Linked DNA regions of Elephas maximus indicus. The protein of the gene in region 3 purifies or fractionates together with the protein of the main gene of each other region. This does not show direct contact. Links are inferred from orthologs where the notes say so. Each region holds a gene or a part of one and is shown on either strand. Other genes may lie near its edges.

Region 1 (7,670 bases), on a different chromosome or scaffold from region 3:
AAATAAATTTTTACATAAACTACAACTTGTGTCAGTTTTAGAATGTGTGGGCCCATACCAGCAACTTTGCTTCTCAATATTTGGTCAATTGATGGGAAGGTAACTGTGCCAAGAACTTAGCAAATTTTACTGGCTTTATATCATGACTTCATGATTCAACAATTATGTTCTTCATATTACAGATGAGAGCACTTTGTCTCAGTAACACAAAAGCTCCTGTTCTTAGTTATCCCCAATCTTGCCTGAACCAGGCTATCAAGAATGAGTAGAATTTTAATAGATGGTGATAGGAGCAGGGAAGATGGCCCACGTAACCTGAGTCAGGAAAGCACAGGACCTGTTTGGTTAAGACCTTCTGTGTGTTGCAGAAATAAGAAAGCTGGATAGGCTGGGTCCAGACTGATGAAAGCCTAGATTTAACTTAATTTGGTCTAGAGTGCAGAGCCACGGAAGACTAAGTACTGCATTAGGAAAATCCATTTAGCATTCATTTTAAGAAAGGATGTCAAAATCGACTCTTGAAGGCAACGGGTTTGGGGCTTTTTTGGGTTTTAAGGGGGGGTAAGAAGCCTTAGTGATGCAAACAGCTCAGCTGCTAAACAAAAGATTGGCGGTTCGAATCCAACCAGCTGCTCCGAATCCAACCAGCTGCTCCGCAGGAGGAAAAAACCTGGCAATCTGCTTCCATAAAAGATTACAGCCAAGAAAACCCTATGGGGCAGTTCTACTCTGTCACCATGACATGAGTCGGAATTGACTTCATGACACCCAACAACAATGGGAAGGGTGTGGCAGACTAGAGGCAAGAAGACCAGGATAAGGACAGTGGTTGCCAAGGAACGGGAGGAAAGAGACGATCTGAAGGAAGCAACCTCAAGAGTGAGCTGACGGAACTTGGAGTGTCCAAGATGACTCCAGTTTCACTGCCTGAATTGCAGTCCCTTTATTTTGGGGGAAGGAGCCCTGGTAGTGCAGTGGTTAAAGCACTCAGCTGCTTACTGGAAGATCAGCGGTTCGAACTCACCAGCCTGTCTGCTTCCTTAAAGATTTACAGCCTTGGAAACCCCATGTTCTAGTCTGTCCTGTAGGGTTTCTATGAGTAGGAACTGACTCAACCACAACGGGTTATTTCAGGGGAGGGCAGGTGGAGGAGGGATCAAAAAGAGAAGTGAAAGACGAAAAAATTAAGTGCATATGCAAACAGGTTTCTGTTAACAACTACAATTAAAAACATATTAATTTGACATTTATCTAACACTGTCCGTTGCCTGGGTGGCACAGATAGATGGTTTGTGCTCAGGTGCTAACCAAAAGGCTAGTGATTTGAACCCACCCAGCAGCGCCACAGAAGGCCTGGTGATCCGCTTCTGTAAAGGTTACGACCACCAAAAAAAAAGCCATGGAGCTCAGTTTCACTCATGGTGTTGCCACAAACTGGAATCTACTCGACGGCAACAGGCTCTTGTTTGCTGGGAATATCACTGAATAAAGTATAACCCCCTTCTCTATGTGTGCTACCATTGTTAGGACTGAAGTTACCCCTTACGTGTCTGTTTTCTCCCTTCTTGCCACCCACTTAGGCTGTAATCTCAGGATACTGTTTTGGTCATCCTCATGCCTCAGCACTTGGCTTAAGCGATCCACGCTTCTTTAACCTGTCTCAGCTCAGCTCTTGGGGAGTTCCCAACCCCATGAGGTATCGGTGAATCACAGGGTGAGGTGAAGACTAGATTATGTGGGGTGTACGCTAGGTTAAAGACTGGGGTGTTATGCTGCTGGGGGCTCTCTGAAGGATTTTAAGCAAGGGATGGATGTAATAAGGTAAGTGTTTTAAAGTGAACATTCTACAGGGTGGAGGCTGGATTAGAGAAAATGAGCAGGAAGACCAGTGGAGAAATATAAGGACCTGACTGTAACAAATGGAAATGGAAGAGCAAAATTCAAGAGCTATTTAGAAGCTCCAGGATGCAAGGGGTGAAAGATGTCAGAGACTTAGGTTTCACAGAAGGTAATTCAAGACACGCATGTCTGAGTGGAAGTTGTTGTCTGCCATCAAGTCAATGATCCAAGCACAACAGAATAAAACACCGCCTGGTCCTACGCCACCCCCCATGATCCGTTTCAGATCAGACCATCGTGATCCATAGGATTTTCATGGGCTGATTTTTGGAGGCAGATCACCAGGACTTCTTCCTAGTCCATCTGAGTCTGGAAGCTCCACTGAAACCTGTTCAGCATCATAGCAACATGCAAGCCTCCGCTGACAGATGGGTGGTGGCTGCACCTGAGGGGCATTGGTCAGGCATCAAATTTGGGTCTCCCACGTAGCGAGAATTCTACCACTGAACCACCACTGCCCTCACCTAAGTGGAAGATGAGCTCAGTTGTGGACATGTTAAGTTTAAACTATCTTTGGCAAACCCACTCGGACATGCAAGCATGACTGGACTATGGGTAAAGAACCGAGAAATAGTGTGGAGATACTGGAAGAAAGGACTTAGGACAGAAAGAACCATGTGGAACACCGACACTTAAGGAACAAGAAGTTGCTAGTTGCCATTGAGTCAACTCAGACTCATGGCAACTCCACGTGTGTCAGAATAGAACTATGCTCCAGACAGTTTTCAATGGTTGATTTTTTAGAACTAGGTCACCAGGCTTTTCTTCTGAGATGCCTTGGAGCGGGGGAATGGAACCTCTAAACTTTGTTTGCAGCCAAGCATGTTCACCATTTGCACTGCTCAGGGACAAGCAGAGACCTCCAAAAAAGACTGCAATGGAATGAGACGCAGTACCCAAGAAAGGGAGGTAGGTGGTAGGAGAAATGAGGTGTCAAGAAAGAGAATTTCCAGAGGGAAGGTGGTCAATAGTATAAAAATACCACAGAGGGTAAGGCCTGTGAAGGTCAATGGCTCTGGCTGAAGTGTTTCTTGACCAGAACTAATTAGCAGATGAATAAGCTGGGGTGGAAGGGAGTAGGAGAAGCTGGGGCCATCTTCTGGAAAATCCTCAGGCGAGTCTCCAGGCTTCTCTGTGTGCTCCAGCAAGTGATGTGAGGCCCTGAGCCCAAGCACGCAGTTGGGACCATCAATCTCTGAGAATCAGGAAACCATATTGACCAAGAGCTTCTTGCTGGTTGCTGTCAATTCCGACTCATGGTGATCGCATGTGTGCAGAGTTAGAACTGCTCCATAGAGTTTTCAAGGCCACGACCTTTTGGAAGCAGATTGCCAGGCCTGTCTTCAAAGGCACCACTGAGTGGGTTCGAACTGCCAACCATTTGCCCCCTTGGCCTCCTGAAAAAGGATATTGAGAATGATTGTACAACTCAAAGAGTATAATCAAATGTCACTGATATACATGTAGAAATTGTTGAGACGGTGTATGTCTTGTTACCTATATTTTCACCACAATAAAATTATTTTAACGAATAGTAAAAAAAAGTTTGGCCTCTGAGTCTTACAGGTCTGCATTCAAAAACCAACTTCTCACTTTGGACCCTGGGAAAGTCACTTAACCTCCCTGGCCTCAGTTTCCTCACCATAAAACGTGGATAAACAATACCTACCTTATGGGTTGGTGTGGCGGTTAAATACATAAAGCGTTGAGAACACTGCTAGGCACGGAAGTACTGCTCATAAATGTTACCTATAATTATCCTTCATGCCCTTGAGGGTCTTGAGACACTCCCACACCCACCCGCACCCCAAGTGCAGCTCTGAGAGCTGACTGGGCACAGGCGGCCGAGTCTAGGCTGAGGCCTCGAGGCAGAGTTGCCAGACCAAAAACCAAGCCAAACCGACTGCCGTCGAGTAGATTCCGACTCTTAGCGATCCTAGAGGACAGAGTAGAACTGCCCCGTAGAGTTTCCAAGGAGCGCCTGGTTGCCGACCTTTGGTTAGCAGCCGTAGCACTTAACCACTAGACCACCAGGAAACCTCTAATTAGGTCAATTAGGTCGGAGGGCTGGTCCTGAGAAGCCTCAGGGGCCCTGAGGGCGCAGCTTGGGGCAGTGAGGCCACTGAGGTGGCAGAGGCCGGGAAGCCTCAGGTAGGTTCCTCGTCCAGCACTGGGATCTCCAGGGGCCTCTTTCCGACTGCGACGTACGCCCCTTGTTTCCCTGCTTTCCCGAGACGACGACGCCCCCCGAACCGTTCCCTCCCGCGCTCGCCCCAAAGCCTGCTGAGGCTGCGCAGGCCGTCGGGGCGGGACCAGACGCCCTTGCGCGCGTGCGCCCTCTGCTGGCTCTTAATGGTCTCCCAGCACGCATACGCACGCGCCACAGGCCCCCGCCCCCGGGCTGCCAGCGCGCGGGGCCGTTGGCGACGATTCCCGCCCTCCCTGTCCCATAAGGGAGGGAGGCGGGGCCGCCCCAGAGTCGGGAAGAAGCTGGACCATGGGAGCCACGCCCACGTCCCGTTCCCCATTTGAAGCCCCTCAACTCCGCACCGCCAGCCAATCGCAGCCCGCTCTGACCCGAGCACAGGCCAATGGGCAGCACGCTCGTGCCGCTTCCGGCTCCGTGCTCGGTTCGCCCCTTCCCTGGTCTCCGCGCGCAGGGCTGAGAGCGGGTGCGGGCGTCGGCCGCGGTGACGTACGGTGGGCCGGCAGCCAATGGGGGGCGGGCTCGGCGCTGATGGACGGGGCGAGCGTCCAGTGGCGAGGCGCTGGCCGCACTTCCCGTCGGGGAGAGAGTGTAATATGGCGAAGACCTACGATTACCTGTTCAAGCTGCTGCTGATCGGGGACTCGGGGGTGGGGAAGACCTGTGTCCTGTTCCGCTTCTCCGAGGACGCCTTCAACTCCACCTTCATCTCCACCATAGGTAGCGTGGCCGGAGGGCGGCCGGGGGCACGGGAGGCTCGGGCCGGGCGCTCGCCTGAGGGGCCGGGACTGAGGGAGAGATCAGGGCGGACGGCCCTAGGGGTTCTTAGAGGCTCGAGGGGGCCCTTGGGACGACGACCAGCCACCTCCACCACCGTCGGGGATTCCCGGGCCCTGGGAGCAGTGGGGGGAGCCAAGTGCCCATTTTGCAGATGAGGAGACTGAGGCCCCGATCTTCAGCCCGCTCGTCGGGGAGTGTATGCCCTGGGCTGAGGTCTTCGCGCCTGTCATTGCGTTCAGTTCTTGCAGCAGCCCTCGAAGCCGTTCTTTGGGGGTCCCCATCTTACAGAAATGGAAACTGAGGCATAGGAAGTTAACTGTAGTGAAAGGACCATGTCAGCTGACTTCATTGACCATTTACTCTTTGCCAAGCGCTTTTTGCACGTTATCACCCTCTCTGCTGTCCTCTGGGTTAGGTGCTGTTGAGAGCCCCGTCTGCTGGGATGAGGAGTTTGAGGCTCAGGGAGAGAATAGGACTTGCCCAAGGTCACACAGTCGGTACGTGATGAGGGTGAGATTTGGACTCAAGTGTCTGACTTCAAAACTCAGGCCCAACCATGCCAAATAGATGCCAGCATGCACCTGCAGGACAGGCACAGGACCCCAGTCTGCACCTGTCCAGTTCCTAACCTTGGAGAGATCAGGGGCTGACCCTGTATCCTCCTTGGGTAAGTTTTCCTCTAGAAGGAATGATGACAGGGAATCAGGAGCTTTTACTTTCCTGCCTTCCATCCCTCAAGAGTGACAGCAATGGCTAGTGACAGCCGCTGCCCTGGAGCCTGTCATCACCAAGGTTATGCCAGGTAAAAGCCTCAATGAGAAACTGAAATCAGCCGCTCCCACAGACAGCCCTAACTGCCCTGTTGCAAGGCCCAGGACACAAGTTGTCACTTTGAGAAACAGCCTTTTCCACAGAGCCAGCCCACGTGGTGGTTGAACAGAACCGGCCTGTTACATCTTGGCTCTGACATCCATCAAAGTGAAGCTGGCTTCTCTTTGTGCCACAAAAATTTCATTGCTTACATTAAAAAGTTCTACTGGGAATAGCACAGATTAAGTGAAGTAGCTTTGCATGGTAGTGGGGATGTGGGGGACAGTCACTAAACTGAGGTTGTTGCTGTTAGCTGCTGTCAAGTGAGCCCCAACCCACAGTGACCTCACACACGCGGGAATGAAATGCTGCCCCGCCCTGCACCATTCTGATGATTGGTTGCAGATTGGACCACTGGGATCCATAGGGTTTTCACCAGCTGACTTTCAGAAGTTGATCACCAAGTCTTTCTTCCTAGTTTATCTTAGTCTAGAAGTTCTGCTGGAACCTGTTCAGCACCATAGCCACACACAAGCCTCCACTGACAGATGGGTGCTGGCTGTGCACGAGGTGTATTGGTTGAGAATTGAACGCAGGTCTCCCACGTGGAAGGTGAGAATTCTACCAGGTGTCAGGTAGAGAGAATTAGACTGGAAGCCATCAGACCTGGTGTCCTATTGCTGTTTGCCCTTGAATAAGCCACTTGATTTCTCTCAGCTGTTTCTTCTCATGAGGGGTAGTGCCCTCGTCTTGGCCAGTGTCCTGGTGGCCAAGGATCAGAATTATATGATGACTAAGGGATTGTTGTCACTGCCAGGGGCTGCCTAGCAGAAGCAGAATGGCTCCTGCAAGGACAGCATCTCACCCTGGGGCACAGGTGTATCTGAATCCTCCCACTTCCCCCACCCCAAGTTCAAACCCTGGGATGGCCCTTGCCTCCCTTCCAAACCAGGAAGTGGCCTTAACTCCTGGCAGACTGTGGCTTGATCTCAACCCATATCGTGCTAATCTTGAGCGCTGGTGAGCTCGATTCCGGCATTAGATTTTTTTATTTGGTTTTTAATTTTTGATCAGAAAACCCAATCAAACATTTGAGGGCTCCAAGGAGGCTGGCTTCCTCCATTTACAGACAAGGAGACCAGGCCCAGAGAGAGGAGAAAACTTGCCCAGGGTCGTACAGGGAGTTGGAAGTGGGCGTTGAACCCAGGACCCCTCCCTCCTGCCCCAGTCTTCTGTTCATTGCATTTGTAGCCTGCTGCAGCCCTCTGTCTTCTTTTGTTGTTGTTAGTTGACACAAGACAACCCTCTATGTGCAGAGTAAAACTGCTCCGTAGGGTTTTCAAGGCTGTAACCTTTCAGAGGAAACCCTGGTGGCATAGTGGTTAAGTGTTAATGGCTGCTAACCAAAGGGTTGTCAGTTCGAATCCACCAGGCACTCCTTGGAAACTGTGGGGCAGTTCTACCCTATCCTATAGGGTTGCTATGAGTCTTAATTGACTTGACAGCACTGGGTTTGGTTTTTTGGTTTTAGCCTTTCAGAAGTAGATCACTAAGCCTGTCTGCCAGGGTGCCTTTGGGTGAACTCAAACTGTCAGCCTTGTGGCTAGTAGTCAAGCACTTAACCATTTGCACCACCCAGGTCACCTTCTAGGAGAGTTTAATTGAGCTCGACCTTGAAGTTATGGCCTCATAATCATTAGGCCTCATAAAGTTTACACTTCCTAATCAAATGGGGTGTGTTCGTAATACCCAGAAGTGTGGGGCAGAGTGTTGTCTCAGAGCTCCACCAATCAGGCAGGGCTGCTTTCTTTCGTGGACCCCTGTCTCTCTGCATCAGGAGGTGGGGAAGGTTTGGGGTAGAGTCAGCTCTGGGCTGCTGAACTCTGAAATACAGCTTCATGCCAAGACAATCCTGTGTTGGCACCGCCTGTTCCTCTGGGTTTTCCTCGTAGATCAGAGATTGAGTGCCTGTTCA
Region 2 (7,790 bases), on a different chromosome or scaffold from region 3:
AGCTGTGACAAAGCTGAGTTTCAAACCCAGGCAACTCCAGAGGTGGCTCGGGGTTCACATTGTAGAGCTAGAGGACTTGAGTTAAAATAGTTTTGAGAACTAGCTTGGAAATCTCTGAAAACAGATCCTGGCACTCCAAAAGAGCTCAAAATATGTTAATTTTGAAAGCCTCTGTTAAATGGTGCATGTTTTTCATTAATTTGGAGTAACATATTTTAAGGCCCCAGGTTTGTGTGTCTAGTGGCTAAGAGACTTAAAACTGTTTTCTCATCTGCTCAAGAACATCATACGAAAAAAACGTTAACAGTGGTTCTCTTTGTGGTGGGATTAGTGTTTTATTTACTATACTTTTCTACAGTGTCATTAACGATAAATCTCATTATTTTCTATTAAACAACACATTTGAAAAAATTAACCTGGGTGGTAAGTTTCCACGTCTTCTCTTATCATTATCTAATGTCAACTTTCGATCTCAAAAAGAATAAGTAAATATTTGAAGAATCCATTCCATTTTTTCAATCTAATCAGAAAGCTATCGTAACAGTTTTCTCCCATCTTTAATCAAGATCTGACTGCGTGCTTGCCAATAAAATATACGAAACCTGAAGATGAATCTCTCCCTAAAAAGTTCTTTTCTATTTTATTTAGTCACCCCATATAGAAAATTTGCTTTTCCATAAAACTTGTGTTTATATAAGGAACATTTTTGATAATGAAATCATTAATAAACATAGCCAGGAGGATCAAGACAATAAAATCACCTATCCAACAGCTCTGAAGAGCTCTTACCTTTATCAATACTGTATCTTTTTCTTTAACCAGCACTAAAATATTTACAGATGAAATGATATGCTGTCTGAGAGTTGCTTTCAAACAATGGGGGCATAAATAAACCAAGTTGGCCATAACACAACTGAGGCTGGTGATGGGTTCATTATACTATTCTCCCTACTTTTGAATATTTTAAAAATTTTTCATAATTAAAAAAAAAAATGTTCTACCTTAAACACATTAGACTGAGGGTCAAATCTCGGTTATACCGACTCCTGCCTAGGTTCTTTAATTTCTGTAAAACGTAATGTGTAGAGCTGTTGTGAAAATTAAATGAGACGACACATGAAATGAATCTCTAACACAATGCCCAAAACACAGTAGGGCCTGAAAACTGGCAATTCAAGTGGCCATCTGAAGAGAAGATTAAATGTCCTTCAGACTGAAAATGAACCAACACACCTTGAAATAATATTACACACAACAGCAGCTGAAACATTCTCCAATTGTTTGTTACATGTTATCTACAAAACAGCAAACAATTAGTTATCAAGGACAACATGCTAGGATTTTGATGGTATTTCTAAAATTTCGGGGAAAACATCAGATTCCCGTGAAAACCGAGAATCTGATCTAGCTTTGCCTTGCAAGGGTTAAAGTTACTGGGTTATATTTCTCCAAGGGTCTCAAACAGGAAATAGCAAACTAAATCGAATTGCCAACACACAGTTCGCATAACATTAAGGTTAAAAAATACTTTATGTGCATTCATTTGTATTCACTACTTGCTGGAACTTTCGTCTGTACGGCAAAACAAGGATTTTGCATAATAACGTATTTTTAAACCTTTTGAAAATAACCAGTACTCTATAACTAAAGTCCTTCTAGGTGCTCTTTGATCAAATTTTTACTAATAACAGCTAACATACTGGGCACTTCTTTTGTCCAGGCACTGTTCTATGTACTTTAACCACGACAACCCGATGAGCTCATATTATTTATCCCCATTTTAAAGTTTCTGAACCGTCCTGAATATTCCCATAAGTGTTTTTTTCTTTATTACGAGAAAAGCAACTAACTCAACACTTAGGCTCCACTTAAGCAAAACACAAAAGCCAAATAGATGGATTATGATGTTCTCAGCTTAACGAGTCTAAAAGTCACGGGCGGGGGGAGGTGGAGGGGTAACGAGTTTCCAGGGAAAAAAACACCCGAGCAGACTTCACGGTCTCTATTTGCCGAGGGGGTCCAGAGGTCTGGTTATCTTGAGTTTCTTTAAAACTGTGGATTACCATCCTCCATGGATGACACACGACTCTCTAGACAGCCTATTTTGAAAAGCCTCCCCACCCCACCTCCACGATCACCCGTCTTTGGAAGTAGAAGGTAGGCGGAGCTCCCCCCAGTTCACACCTGCCGTAGGCCCCGGCTCCTCCTAGTAGTGTACCCCAGTAGTTGCTGGCCAACTCCAGATCGCCGGGATACGCAAGACCAGCAAGGCCCCTTGGCAATCTTTCGCAGCTTCCTCCCGAGAACCCAGCCTGGCTTTGCCCGGGACCCCCAAGACGGCCACGGCAGGCGCCAGGCGGAGCCGCGGCCTCCAGTACTCTTCCCACGTCGCCATCTTGAGAAGGGAGAGGGTGACACCCGTCCCTCCCACAGCCAGTCCCCAAATCCCGGTCAGTAAAGCCCCCTGACGGATGAGTCACCAGGGCCGACTGGACCGGCCACCGGGTTCGACGACGCTCTGGCCCACAGCAACGGCACGCGTGAGGAGTAAGGGCGGGGGCTCGCTGCCGGCAGGGGTGCAGGCAGGCTGGGGGCCGCGGGTAACCTGGGGTCTGGGCCCCATCTGGCAGGGGGAGGGGCCGGTTGGGTTACCTGCGACCGCAGCGCGCGGGGTTGCGGGGCCAAAGCTTCCCGGCAGCAGATCCCAAGCCCGAAGGATGAAACTGAGGCTGAGGCTGTGGCTTAGGCGGCGGCAGCGTCTCCTCCTTGCGCCGCTCCCCTCAGACTGGACGGTGCTGGGCTCGTGCCGCTGGTGCCGCCCCCGTCGGACTCCGTCTCCGCCTCTCCCCGCTCCGCCTTCCTCTTTCCTTTCTCCTCCTCCGTCGCCGCCGGCGCTCTGGGTCCGACCACTTCTTCCTCCTCCTCCCTCCTCCGCCTCCTCCCCTTAGGCCGGCCGCCGGCTTCTTCACAAACCAAAACACAAACACTCAAGTCCCAGCGCGGGAGCCACTTCCGCCAACCCCGCCGCCACGTCGCTGCACGTAGCGAACTACGCCCTTTCGTCACTTCCTGTCGTAGCCAGTCCGACCGCTCTATCCACTTCCCCGCCCCCTCTCAGGCCCCGCCCACCCCGGGAGCACGTTCGCGGGATGGGCGTGTCACGTGATGCCCGCGAGCGGCCGGGTCGGGTCGGGCTGCCTGCTGCCCTGCCCCATCACAGGCGCGCGCGGCCCCGCCCTCGCTGGCGCCTTTGTTATCAGAGCCCGGGGCCCTGGGGCTCCCGGCGTGGGCGGAGCATACTCGCTACTGCCTGGTTTGGGGGTAAGACCTGAAGAGCTAAATTTGTTACTCCGAGCCCTTTTGGGCGGCGAGGTTCCCTCTGGGAATATTAGCTCACAGCCCCCCTCTCCCCACACCGGAACACCTCAATCTTGGGCAACTAGGCTAAGGGGCTTTTTGCTCTACTGCCCCCCATGTCACGTGCTTTCCAGGAATTATCCCATTTCTTAAACTCCTAGGTATTCATTTTGAAACTAACGTGTTTCTCCTTTGGCTTCCTACATTAAAATAGTAACCCCCAGAGTGGCCCTCAACGCTGTAAACCTGGTGTCTAGCCCAGTGCCTGGAACCCACTTATCTTCAGTCATGGTTATGGAATGAATGAATGAGGCGTGCCTGCTTTACAGGTAAAGAATTTGAGGCATAGAGATTGAGTAACTTGTCCAAAGTAACTGCCTAGTTAGTGATGAAATTGTTTTTCTAACCTACTTTTTTTTTTTTTTTACTAGCTGGCTCCAGGACCCGAGTTCTTAAACAGACATTCCACTGAAAGCCAGCTCAAGACTTTGATTACCCTCTACAGCAGACCTACTGAAGGCATACTTCTTCAGTAAAATCCCACACAATAGATAGTCTCTGCAAGACACCTGTATCCAAACAAAATCCTTTTAGCAATTCAGAGGAAGAATGTTAAATTGATTTTCCCTCAGAATGAGGACCATTTTTCAGTTTACAATTTATAGCCTGTTGAAGGGACATGATATTGTCTTTGAAGTATATCAGAGCAAGGCATCCTGTGGGTACTCTGCCAACATAATGCAGTAGAAATGATCTGAACCCTTAAGCACGCATTCATTCAGATCAACTGCCCAATAACTAACCAGAAGAGCGTAACGTGTCATACCTAAATGGTATCTGTGGCACTTTATCCTCGAGGGGTTGTTCCAATATAATATTAGTCATGGTAATACCTCTTGGACAATCCCAGGAAGAATAAGGAAAGAGGATACCTCACATTAGTTTTGGCACGTAAATAGCACGTCCAAAAAAAAAAAAAACCCCAGAACAGACAACCAAAGCTATTCTGCTCAAACCTGCTTCTGCTTTGTGACTGGTGTTAACAGGTTCTCAGTCCCCCCCTCTCTTGAAACTAAAGAATCATCAATTCTTCCTTCTCTTCTTCATAAACCATTGTCCACTCTGTTGCTAAAAATTCTCTAGTCTCAAAATTTGAGCTATAATCCCAAAGCCAGAGCCCTGGCAGTGCAGTGGCTTAAAAGCTCGGCTGCCAGCCAAAAGGTCAGCAGTTCAAATCCACTAGCCACTCCTTGGAAGCCCTATCGGGGCAGTTCTCCTGTAGGGTTGCTATGAATAGGAATTGACTCGATGGGCAACGGTTTGTGTTTTTTTAATCCCAAAGCCTGGGCCATGGTAGTATTCATAAAAGCTAGAATTAATGCACGTTCTTGCCTTTTGAAGGAGCCCTGGTGGCACAATGGTTAAATGCTCGGCTGCTAACTGAAAGGTTGGTGCTTTGACCCCACCAGCCGCTCAGCAGGAGAAAAGACCTGGCTGTCTGCTCCCGTGAGGATTACAGTGTAGGAAGCCCTATGGAGCAGTTGTGTTCTGCCATATAGAGTCACTCTGAGTCAGAATCAACTAGATGGCAGAAACAGCTTGCCTTTTTAATCTACTCTTCACACTTTAGCCACTCTCCTCTTCAAAAATGTTCAATGATATCTCATTGCTTAATAGAGTCCAAAATTCTTTAGCTCTAGTCCCAACTCACCTTCTTACATCCCCTAACCACCCTATGCTCCTCCATGCTAACCGGAAAAGCATGATGCGTCATACCTACATGTTCCCATCTTGGCATCTTACTTTGTTCTCTCCACCTGAACACCATTACCTGGCCCATCGTTGCCAGGCTCACCTCAGTTGGGATGCCAACTTCTAGACAGCGTCTATGTATACTTCTCCCAGATTTAATTATCGTTTTCTTTCCTCTGTGGTTTCCCAGTACTTTGCTTTACTCTCTATAATGGTTCTTCTAACATCCTGCCTCAGAAAGTTCCTAGACTTTTCTCCTCAGCCCTTCAGTCTTCTTAGGATTACAAAGTTCAGTTTCTCACAGAGCTTAAGAGGATCTTCACTATGATACCCAAACCCAAACTCATTGCTGCCAAATAGATTCCGATTCATAGCCACCCTATAGGATGGAATAGAACTGCCCCATGAGATTTCCAAGGCTGTTTTTTTAATCATTACAGAAGGAACCCTGGTGGTGCAGTGGTTAAAGCGCTTGGCTGCTAACCAGAAGGTCAGCGATTTGAACCCAGTAGCCACTCTGTGGGAGAAAGATTTGGCAGTCTGCTTCTGTAAAGATTTACAGTCTTAGAAACCCTGTGGGGCAGTTCTACTCTGCCCTGTAGGGTCGATATGAGTTAGAATTGACTGAGTGACAGTGAGTTTGGTTTTTGGAATCTTTACAAAACCAGAGTGCCACATCTGTCTCCCACAGAGTGATGGGTGAGTTTGAACCATCAACCATTCAATTAACAGCCAAGCTCTTAATCATTGTGCCACCATGGCTCCTTACCCTTGGGTTACACATGTTGCTGTTGAGTCAATTCTGACTCATAGCGACCCTATAGGACAGAGTAGAACTGCCCCATAGGGTTTCCAGGGAGCACCTGGTAGATTCGAGCTGCCGACCTATTGGTTAGCAGTGGAACTCTTAAACACAATTGCTTTGCAAACTGCTTGAATCACTGAGGAGCTGTTCCAGGTATTCATGTTCCCTGGATCCAAATTAGTTCCTTTCATGTTGCAGGTTTTCAACAAACATTGGTTGAATGAATAATTGCACAACAGGAGGTTACTCCTAACTTGCTGTTGGATATTGAGTAGCTTTTTTTTTTTAAAGCGAACTGAAGAAATGATAAAGTAAAAGAGCTGAACAGAAGATTTCAAAGGACTTCTCAAGAAGATGAAGTAAAGTATTATAGTGAAATCTGCAAAGACCTGGAGTTAGAAAACCAAAAAGGAAGAACATGCTTGGCATTTTTTAAGCTGAAAGAACTGAAGAAAAAAATTTGAGCTTGGAGTTGCAATAATGAAGGATTCTGTGGGGAAAATTTCCAGAGGTAGCATATGCTCAAGAGCTGATGGTACTGAAGGAGGAAGTCCAAGCTGCATTGAAGGGAATGAGAAAAAAACAACGGTCCAGGAATTGACAGACTACCAAGTAAGATGTTTCAACAAATGGTTGCAACACTGGAGGTACTCACTCATTTGTATCAAGAAATTTGGAAGACAGCTTCCTGGTCAACTAACTGGAAGAGATCCATATTTGTGCCCATTACAAAAAAAGGTGCTCCAATAGAAGGCGGAAATTATCAAACAATATCATTAATATCACACACACACAAGAAAAACAAAAACCTGTTGCTGTCGAGTCGATTACAACTCATAGTGACCCTATAGGACAGAGTAGAACTGTCCCATAGGGTTTCCAAAGAGCAGCTGGTGGATTCAAACTACTGACCTTTTGGTTAGCAGCTGAAAGCTTAACGACTGCGCCACCAGGGAACTTGGGTGGCACAGGGGTTAAAGTGATTATCTCTGCAAACCGACAAGTCAACGGTTAGAAACCACCAGCAGCTCTGCAGGAGAAAGATGTGGCAGTCTGCTTTCGTAGAGATTTACAGCCTTGGAAACCTTATGGAATTGCTACGAGTCAGAATCGACTCAACAGCAGGGTGGAGATGGGGGGGCGGGGAATAATATCACACAGAAGTAAAATTTTGCTGAAGATCTTTCAAAAGCAATCGCAACAGTACATCGACAGGGAACTGTCAGAAGTTCAAGCCGGATTCTGAAGAGGGCATGGAACGCAGGGTGTCATTGCTGGTGTCAGGTGGATCTTGACTGAAAGGAGAGAATACCAGAAAGCTGTTTACCTGTGTTTTGTTGACTATGCAAAGGCATTCGACTGTATGGATCATAACAAATTATGGATAACACTGTGAAGAATGGGAATTCTAGAATGTTTAATTGTACTCACGCAGAACCCATACATAGACCAAGAGGCAGTTGTTCAAAGAGAGCTAGGGAATGCTGCGTGGCTTAAAGTCAGGAAAGGTGTGCGTCAGTGTTGTATCCTTTTGCCATACTTATTCAATCTGTATGCTGAGCAAATAACCTGAGAACCTGAATTGTATGTAGAAGAATGCTGCATCAGGATTGGTGAAAGACTCATTAACAACCTGCAGTACGCAGATGACACAACTTTGCTTGCTGAAAGTGAAGAGAATTTGAAGCACTTACTGATGAAAATCAAAGACTACAGTCTTTAGTATGGATTGCACCTCATCATAAAGAAAATAAAAATCCTCACAACTGGACCAGTAAGCCACATCATGATAAACGGAGAAAAGATTGAAGTTGTCAAGGATTTCATTTTACTTGGATCCACAATCAACTCCCATGAAGTAGCAGTCGGGAAATCA
Region 3 (7,081 bases):
CTCTGCCAACCTTTTGGTTAGCAGCCAGGCGCTTAACTGTTTGCACCATCCAGGGCCTCCTTGGGAGTCTTACGTGAATGTATGTGGCGGGGTCTGTAACTATGGTCATATCTCTACATATTTATATCTGCATTTCTATATCTGTATCCGTATCATATTCTATATCCATGCCCATATGTCTGTATATTTATATCCCTGTCTGTTTGTATTTTTTCATTTCTCTTTGTTACACCTTGTCATTAGGAAATCGATAATCAAGGCTCCCAGGGCCCAAGGGAGGCTGGATGGAGGGCGGGATGAGAAACAGCTGCTGTTAGTCTGGGCTCATCAACAGCTACTAAAAACATCTGGTGAAAGGTTGATGCGGAACTGGCTCTGGCAAGGGTGTTAAAGCACCACACCACAGGTGACGAGCCAGTTGTGGTGGTGGTGCTTCACAACGGGGACATTTGGCAGTCCCCACCTCAACCAGGTGATCCAGTTGTGCGTCATCAGCACGTGACCCGGCTCTTTGCTCTCCCCATTTGCTTAGACGAGGTCATCGGGCAGGTACTGAGCACACTGAAGTCCGAGGATGTCCCGTACACCGCAGCCCTCACAGCAGTCCGCCCTTCCAGGGTACGTGCCCTTCCCCGCAGGGTGCCTTGGGAGGTGAGGGGTGGCGGGCCACAGGCAGGGCCGCTGTGGGCTGAGGACGTTGACATGGGGCGGCTCTGTATGGAGGGCCTGAGCTTCCTCCCTCCAGGCAGCAGGTGATAATCTTGCCCTGTGAGCTCATGGGTTGGTGTATGTGAAAATTAGTCAAAGTGGTTCCTGAGATTAAGGAATTAGGAAGATAATACAGGGTGCAGGCTGGCTGGGGAGGGCTTCTTGAAGGAAGGGCTCTGAGTCTGGCCAGTGGGTGTTGGTGTGGTGAAGAGGATTGCCTTCCTGGGGGCAGGGCAGCTGGTTTAGGGCTTGGGTCCAGGGTGGTGGTGAGAAGGCTCATTGGCTGTCTCCACAGGTGGCCCGGGATGCAGCCATGGTGTCTGGGGGTCTGGGTCGACAGCTGCTAGAAAAAACGACAGAGACGGATGTGCCTCACCCCCCTGTGAGCTACAATGACACAGCCCCCCGAATCCTACTCTGGGCCCAGAACTTCTCTGTGGCTTATAAGGACCAGTGGGAGGACCTGACCTCCCTCACTTTTGGGGCCCAGGAACTCAACCTTACTGGCTCGTTCTGGAACAACTCTGCCGCTGGGTGAGGACATTCGGGCTGGGGAGGAGCTTGGCCATAGAGGTGATGTTCTGCCTCCGTGGGTCAGGGCCGCTGGCGGGGAGGCAGCCGGACGTGGGGATGGCATGGCCTTGTAGGGTGTGGTCACTGTGGGGTGTGGGTAGTATCATGGGGTGGGGGCTGTTGGAGGGGGAGTTGCTCAGAGTTCTGCCTCCATCATGCTTTCTGGGCCTTGGTTGGGGCCTTTGTCGTTAACGCCTCATGGTCACCTGGGAACTTGGTGCGTCCCCTAGAGCGGAATCTCCTGGACTGAACATAGGGCAAATACTAGGCCAGCTTCCTGAGCCAGCTGTGGGGCTCCTGTGCCCTTGCTGTGTGGCCAGGGAGACTGCTACTCCTCCATTTGCCCTCACCCCCAAAAACCCAACCCATGTATCACTGCAACCCCACGTGGAATTGAAAGAAGAGGCAGTGGACTCTAGGAACCAGAGGAATGAGCCTTGAGTTATAGCCGGAAGACCTGGCTTCTAGCTCATTCCTGAGTTGAAATGTGACTGGGGGAAACACTCTCCTCTCTGGGCCTCAGTTTTCCCATCTGTAAAGAGGGAGCACTACATCCTCAGTTGTCATGAAGACCTGGGGGCAGGCTAAGTAGGGGTAGACGTGAGAAACTCGGTCCTTGAAGCCACTCACGGCCTTTTCCTCTGACCCCACAGACTCACACTGACCTACGAGCAACTCTTTGGTACCAGAGTGACATTCAAGTGAGTTCTGGGGCCGCCAAGGTGGGGCAGGCTGGGTGTGGCTCTGGCTTCCCCCACATGCCTGACCACTTGTGTTGCCCACCCCTAGGTTCATTTTGGCTAACCGCTTCTACCCAGTGTCTGCCCGGCACTGGTTTACCATGGAGCGCCTTGAAATCCACAGCAATGGCTCTGTCACCTACTTTAACGCCTCCCAGGTCACTGGGCCCAGCATCTACTCCTTCCACTGCCAGTATGTCAGCAGCCTCACCAAGAATGGCAATCTCCTTGTGCCCCAAATACAACCCTCTCTCTGGCAGATGACGCTCCAGGACTTCCAGGTATGGCGAGGGGAGCTACGGTATGAGTAGGGGGAGGAGAGAGGCCTCAAGAGTCTTCAGTGGCCTCATCTGGGCTCCTGTAGTTGAGAGTCCTGTTCCCACAGTGCCCCTGGCCCTGGGAGACTCAGAATGTCCACCACCTGGGGGATCTCAGCCCTTGCTGGACATCCTCACTGCAGGGGGCCATGAGGTCCCACCAATTGTGTCTTGTCTGGCCCCAGATCCAGGCCTTCAATGTGACGGGCGAGCATTTCTCCTACGCCAGCGACTGTGCCGGCTTCTTCTCCCCGGGCATCTGGATGGGGCTGCTCACCTCCCTCTTCATGCTCTTCATCTTCACCTATGGCCTGCACATGATCCTCAGCCTCAAGACTATGGACCGCTTTGATGACCACAAGGGCCCTGCCATCTCTCTGACCCAGATAGTGTGACCACCCTGCGCTGCTGGGGGGCCGAGGGGCGTGGCAGTGTCCTGGTCGTCACTTTTCCACCTCTGGTCACGCCAGACTGGAGGGCTGCCATAGCATGAAACCCCAAGGTCCCTCACCCTGGCTCCCTTCCCTTTCCATCCTGGGGGGCCCCCCTGTGTCTCCCAACAAGATGTATGTACATTCTGCATAGGTAGTAAGTAGACAAATCTTCCAGGCTCAGTCGAGGTGAGGGAGAGGGAACGTTAATTCTAGGGACTGCTTCTCCCCCTTTTTCTCCTCTCTCCAACATCGCCGCTTACTGTTTACAGTGCTTGTGTGCGGCACATGCCCCCTCCCCAAGCTTGACAGGGCTTCCTGCAGCAGCCTGCAGCTTGACAGTCCCCGAGTTTGGGGAGTATAGAAGTAGTATTTAACTGTGTGTCCTGCTTAGCTGTCGTTGTTTGATCTTTTTTGATGATGTCGTGCTAAAAAGCAGCAGTACCCAAACAAAACACCCAGTACAGTGGGATTTATTTTTGTGGTCTGAGAAGGAAGGGACCTCCATGGCAGGTGGGTTCAGTGTGATCCCTGAATTTCTAGCATTTTCCCACCAGGAGGGCCTGGCAGCAGCCTGGGGCACTCAGTTATTTTCTTTACTGATAAATAAAAACGGGTTGCCATGCGTTGGGCCTCTGGTTCCTCATTTCTCCACGGACAGAAGAGAGGCGGGAGGAAGGGCCTGGATGTAGCCGAGCCCGCCAAGGGGTGCAGCGGCCTTGCGGGGGTCCAGCTGGCAGCACCTCCAGAAGCTGGGAGAGGCTTTTGCCAGCTAGGCCCTCAACGGTTCAGCAGGAATGGGGGTCCGTGCCGGGGCGACGAGGGTCGGGGCGGTGCTGAGTCACGGTACGTGCAGCTCCTGGGGGGAGAGGCCGCCATGATAAAAGATACTCGGGGCTTCCGAGGAGGACCGCCCGGAGGGCTGGAGGGCGCGGTCGGCCGCCCCGCGCCGCCAGTCCCAACACGCCGCCCCCGGCCCTCCGCAGCAGTGCGTGGCCGCTGCGCGCGCTCCAGCATCCCGGGGGGCGGGGCGGGGCGGGGCGGGGCGGGGCGCGCGCGGCTCCCGCGGACGGATTCCTCGCGGGGCCGCAGAACCGACCGCCCCCTCCTGCGCCGACCACCCAGCCCGCCCCTCCCCACTCTTCAGCAGCCGCAGAAACAGGCAGCTGGGAGAGCTGCGCTGGTGCTCGAGCCCGGGCCCCAGCCGCCCTACTGGGACGCGTGCTGCTGAGGCTGCGCGGCGCCTGAGAGCGGCGGGGGGCGGGGAGGAGCCGGGACTCTTTGACGCGGCGGAGGCGTCGGACGTCTGAGCGTCGTGCCGCCATCTTTGGTCCAGTGCGGCGGCGGCGGCTGCGGCGGCGGCTGTGGTGAAGGAGGTGGAGGAGGAGCCGGAGCTGGCGCTGGCATCGAGGACTGAACCATGGACGAGGAATATGATGTGATCGTGCTGGGGACCGGCCTCACCGTGAGTCCGCCCTCGCGGCATCGGTGGCCCGTGGCCCCACTTCGCGACCACCTATCCCCGCGATGATGCACTTCCCAAACGACGCCGGCCCGACCTCCCGTCCTCTCCCGTACCCTCAGCCCTTCAGCCCCTCAGCCCCAGCGCCGGATGCCCCCGGCGCTTCTTGTCCCCCGAAAAAACAGCCTCCGCTGCCATCCCCACCCGACCTCACCTCTACCCGCTGCCGCGTCCCCGTCTCAGCGGGGTGCCCCTCCCAATCGCCCCCCGCGATCTCGGGCCCGGACCTCTCCCCCCCTCCACGACCCTCTCATCCAGCCTGCTGGGCCGGGAAACGCACCCTGCTTGGGCGACGCCCCGATGCTCCGACCCCGCCCACCGGCCCCCTATCGCCCGCACAGCGGCCCCCTATCTGCGCTAATCCGATGAAGGATGAGGTGTCCATCTCGATTCACGGTGTCTCGCTAGGGTAGGCCCTCATCCCGTCTCCCCAGCTGCTTCTGGGGCCGGGGGACCCAGTGAATGTTCCAGAAGCAGCAGCAGTGGGGCCGTTGAGCACATTCCGCTCCCCCACCGCAGTTCCCCATGGCGACCGCGGGCTGAGTCAGATCCGCAGCCTTTGTCCTTGGGTTGGTGACACCGACTAGGGCTTCTTCCCCGTAGCCTCGACCCAGCTGGACAACGTCCGCAGATGTGGCCGCGAAGGCTTAGGGTCGTCCGAACCTTCGGAGGAGGCGCGGTCCGGGGCGGGCGGGCGGGCGGATTGCCGCCGCCGGGTCTGCCCTGGGGCCTAGAGTTCTAGCAGCGCTCCTCGGACTCATTGTGTCTTAGCCGCCTTTTCCGCGGCCCTAGGGCCCCTACGTCGACGGGGGCTTTCTGGGCGTGTGGGCTGCTCGGAGCGGTCTTTGCCTCCAAGCGGCTGTTATTTCTTTTCTTGTGCATCTCTTGGCTCAGCAGGGTATAGAGGAGAAGCCTAGTGAAGCTCTGGCCTGCGGTTTCAGGTTAGGTGACCAGCTCTGGTGAGGAGGAGCTGTCCACAGGCACAGGGTCCTTGTTTAGATTTGCTCTTTTCTCAAGTTCCTGGGTGGGGAACAGTCAGGGCTCCTACTGCGAATGTGTGGGTGGGGAGTCATGTAGGGACTGTCACGTCTCCCCTTAGGAATGTATTTTGTCTGGCATCATGTCTGTGAATGGGAAGAAGGTGCTGCACATGGACCGGAACCCATACTATGGCGGGGAGAGCTCCTCCATCACGCCCCTGGAGGAGGTGAGATTCAGCCCCACCCCTAAAAAATAGAAACCTACCATCCCTTTAATCAACCTTCTCATGCGCTGGAAGCAGCTCCCCAGGTTCTCTCTCTGGGCAGCAGGGCTGGGGGCTGGGGAGGGAGGGGATGGCCCTGAGGTATCTCTTCCTGTCCTGCTTGCAGTTGTATAAGCGTTTCCAGCTCCTGGAGGGGCCTCCTGAGTCGATGGGCCGGGGCCGAGACTGGAATGTTGACCTGATCCCCAAATTCCTGATGGCCAATGGTGAGGGGGACGAAGAAGGTATTGGGGGGTGATCGGGAAGACCAGAAGCAGGTCAGGCTCCAGAGAAGGGGTAGTCAGGCCAGTTAGAAGAAGGGGGCCATGCTGATACTGCTGTTCTCCTTTGCCTACAGGACAGTTGGTAAAGATGCTGCTGTACACAGAGGTGACTCGTTACCTGGATTTTAAAGTGGTAGAGGGCAGCTTCGTCTATAAGGGGGGCAAGATTTACAAAGTGCCATCCACTGAGACCGAAGCCTTGGCTTCTAGTGAGTTCCCTGGGCCAAAGAATAGTTGGGAGGTGGGGGAGGCAGACTGCCCTTATTAATACGGGTGGAAAGGTCCAGACCAAGGTGCCCCTTTACCCAGGCTTCTATTTCTCGTACGGTACCAGTGGCCCTTTGCTCTATTCCGTGTGTGCCGCCTGTCATGCCTCATGGCTTGTTGCCAGGGTAGAAGTCCAGACATGGAGGGGCGTGGATGGGGCCTCCTGTTGAAAGACTTCAACCTTTGAAAGGGTTTCCACTTGATCTGTGAAGCATCCCCAAGCCTTGGAGCTGGAAGGGCCCTTAGAGCCTGTGCAGCCCAGCCCCCTCTTTGTATAGGTGGATAAACTGAGGTCTAGAGAGGCAGCGGGATTAACCTAGTCAGTGGCAGTCTTCAGCTAGGAGCTTGGGCTCCTGGTTTTTTGCTCTAACCTGGTGGGAAGAAGAGGTTTATGATTTCGTGGCAACAGGATTCCCCTCACAACGTTTTCTTCAGATTTGATGGGCATGTTTGAGAAACGGCGCTTCCGCAAGTTCCTGGTTTTTGTGGCAAACTTTGATGAGAACGACCCCAAGACCTTTGAAGGGGTTGACCCCCAGACTACCAGCATGCGCGATGTCTACCGGAAGTTTGACTTGGGCCAGGACGTCATTGACTTCACTGGCCACGCCCTGGCGCTCTATCGCACTGATGAGTGAGGGGAAGCTGGGATGGGGCGGTCCCCTTCCTCGAACACTGCCCTTCACACACCTGATTTCTATGCCCTCTGTGCTCAGCTACCCACTCAGACTGTTGTTCTGCATGTGACCCATGGTTCTTCCCCAGGGGGTGGGAAGGCCGGCTCAGTGCCTGGGTTGGGGTGAGGTGGCGGGCAGGAGGGGGTCTGCTGTTTGAGCATCTTTCTCTGCTTCCTCAGCTACCTGGACCAGCCCTGTCTTGAGACCATCAACCGCATCAAGCTGTACAGCGAGTCCCTGGCCCGGTATGGGAAAAGCCCGTATCTATACCCTCTCTATGGCCTTGGCGAGCTGCCCCAGGGATTTGCAAGGTGAGGAC

Evidence for each region. Proteins that work in one complex are often made in the same cells at the same time.
Region 1: the proteins of GDI1 (region 3) and RAB8A purify together in Homo sapiens (co-immunoprecipitation; 6 studies listed by BioGRID and IntAct, counting the BioPlex papers as one, with this or other methods). This does not show direct contact. The link is inferred for Elephas maximus indicus from reciprocal best matches to the Homo sapiens genes GDI1 and RAB8A.
Region 2: the proteins of GDI1 (region 3) and RAB5A purify together in Homo sapiens (affinity purification with mass spectrometry; 3 studies listed by BioGRID and IntAct, counting the BioPlex papers as one, with this or other methods). This does not show direct contact. The link is inferred for Elephas maximus indicus from reciprocal best matches to the Homo sapiens genes GDI1 and RAB5A.

The regions. Positions count from the first base shown.
Region 1 is NC_064821.1:36,342,956-36,350,625, forward strand, and holds the start of RAB8A (ras-related protein Rab-8A), read left to right. Parts: upstream 1-4,667; 5' UTR 4,668-4,701; coding exon 4,702-4,825; intron 4,826-7,670. UniProt on the Homo sapiens protein: The small GTPases Rab are key regulators of intracellular membrane trafficking, from the formation of transport vesicles to their fusion with membranes.
Region 2 is NC_064845.1:19,813,869-19,821,658, forward strand, and holds the start of RAB5A (ras-related protein Rab-5A), read right to left. Parts: upstream 3,004-7,790; 5' UTR 2,653-3,003; intron 2,548-2,652; exon of another isoform or gene 2,204-2,547; intron 1-2,203. UniProt on the Homo sapiens protein: The small GTPases Rab are key regulators of intracellular membrane trafficking, from the formation of transport vesicles to their fusion with membranes.
Region 3 is NC_064846.1:2,006,396-2,013,476, reverse strand, and holds the start of GDI1 (rab GDP dissociation inhibitor alpha), read left to right. Parts: upstream 1-4,077; 5' UTR 4,078-4,189; coding exon 4,190-4,234; intron 4,235-5,390; coding exon 5,391-5,498; intron 5,499-5,661; coding exon 5,662-5,761; intron 5,762-5,892; coding exon 5,893-6,027; intron 6,028-6,520; coding exon 6,521-6,719; intron 6,720-6,941; coding exon 6,942-7,073; intron 7,074-7,081. Other genes in the region: ATP6AP1 (V-type proton ATPase subunit S1), read left to right, coding at 533-618, 1,004-1,242, 1,935-1,982, 2,071-2,302, 2,524-2,733. UniProt on the Homo sapiens protein: Regulates the GDP/GTP exchange reaction of most Rab proteins by inhibiting the dissociation of GDP from them, and the subsequent binding of GTP to them. Promotes the dissociation of GDP-bound Rab proteins from the membrane and inhibits their activation.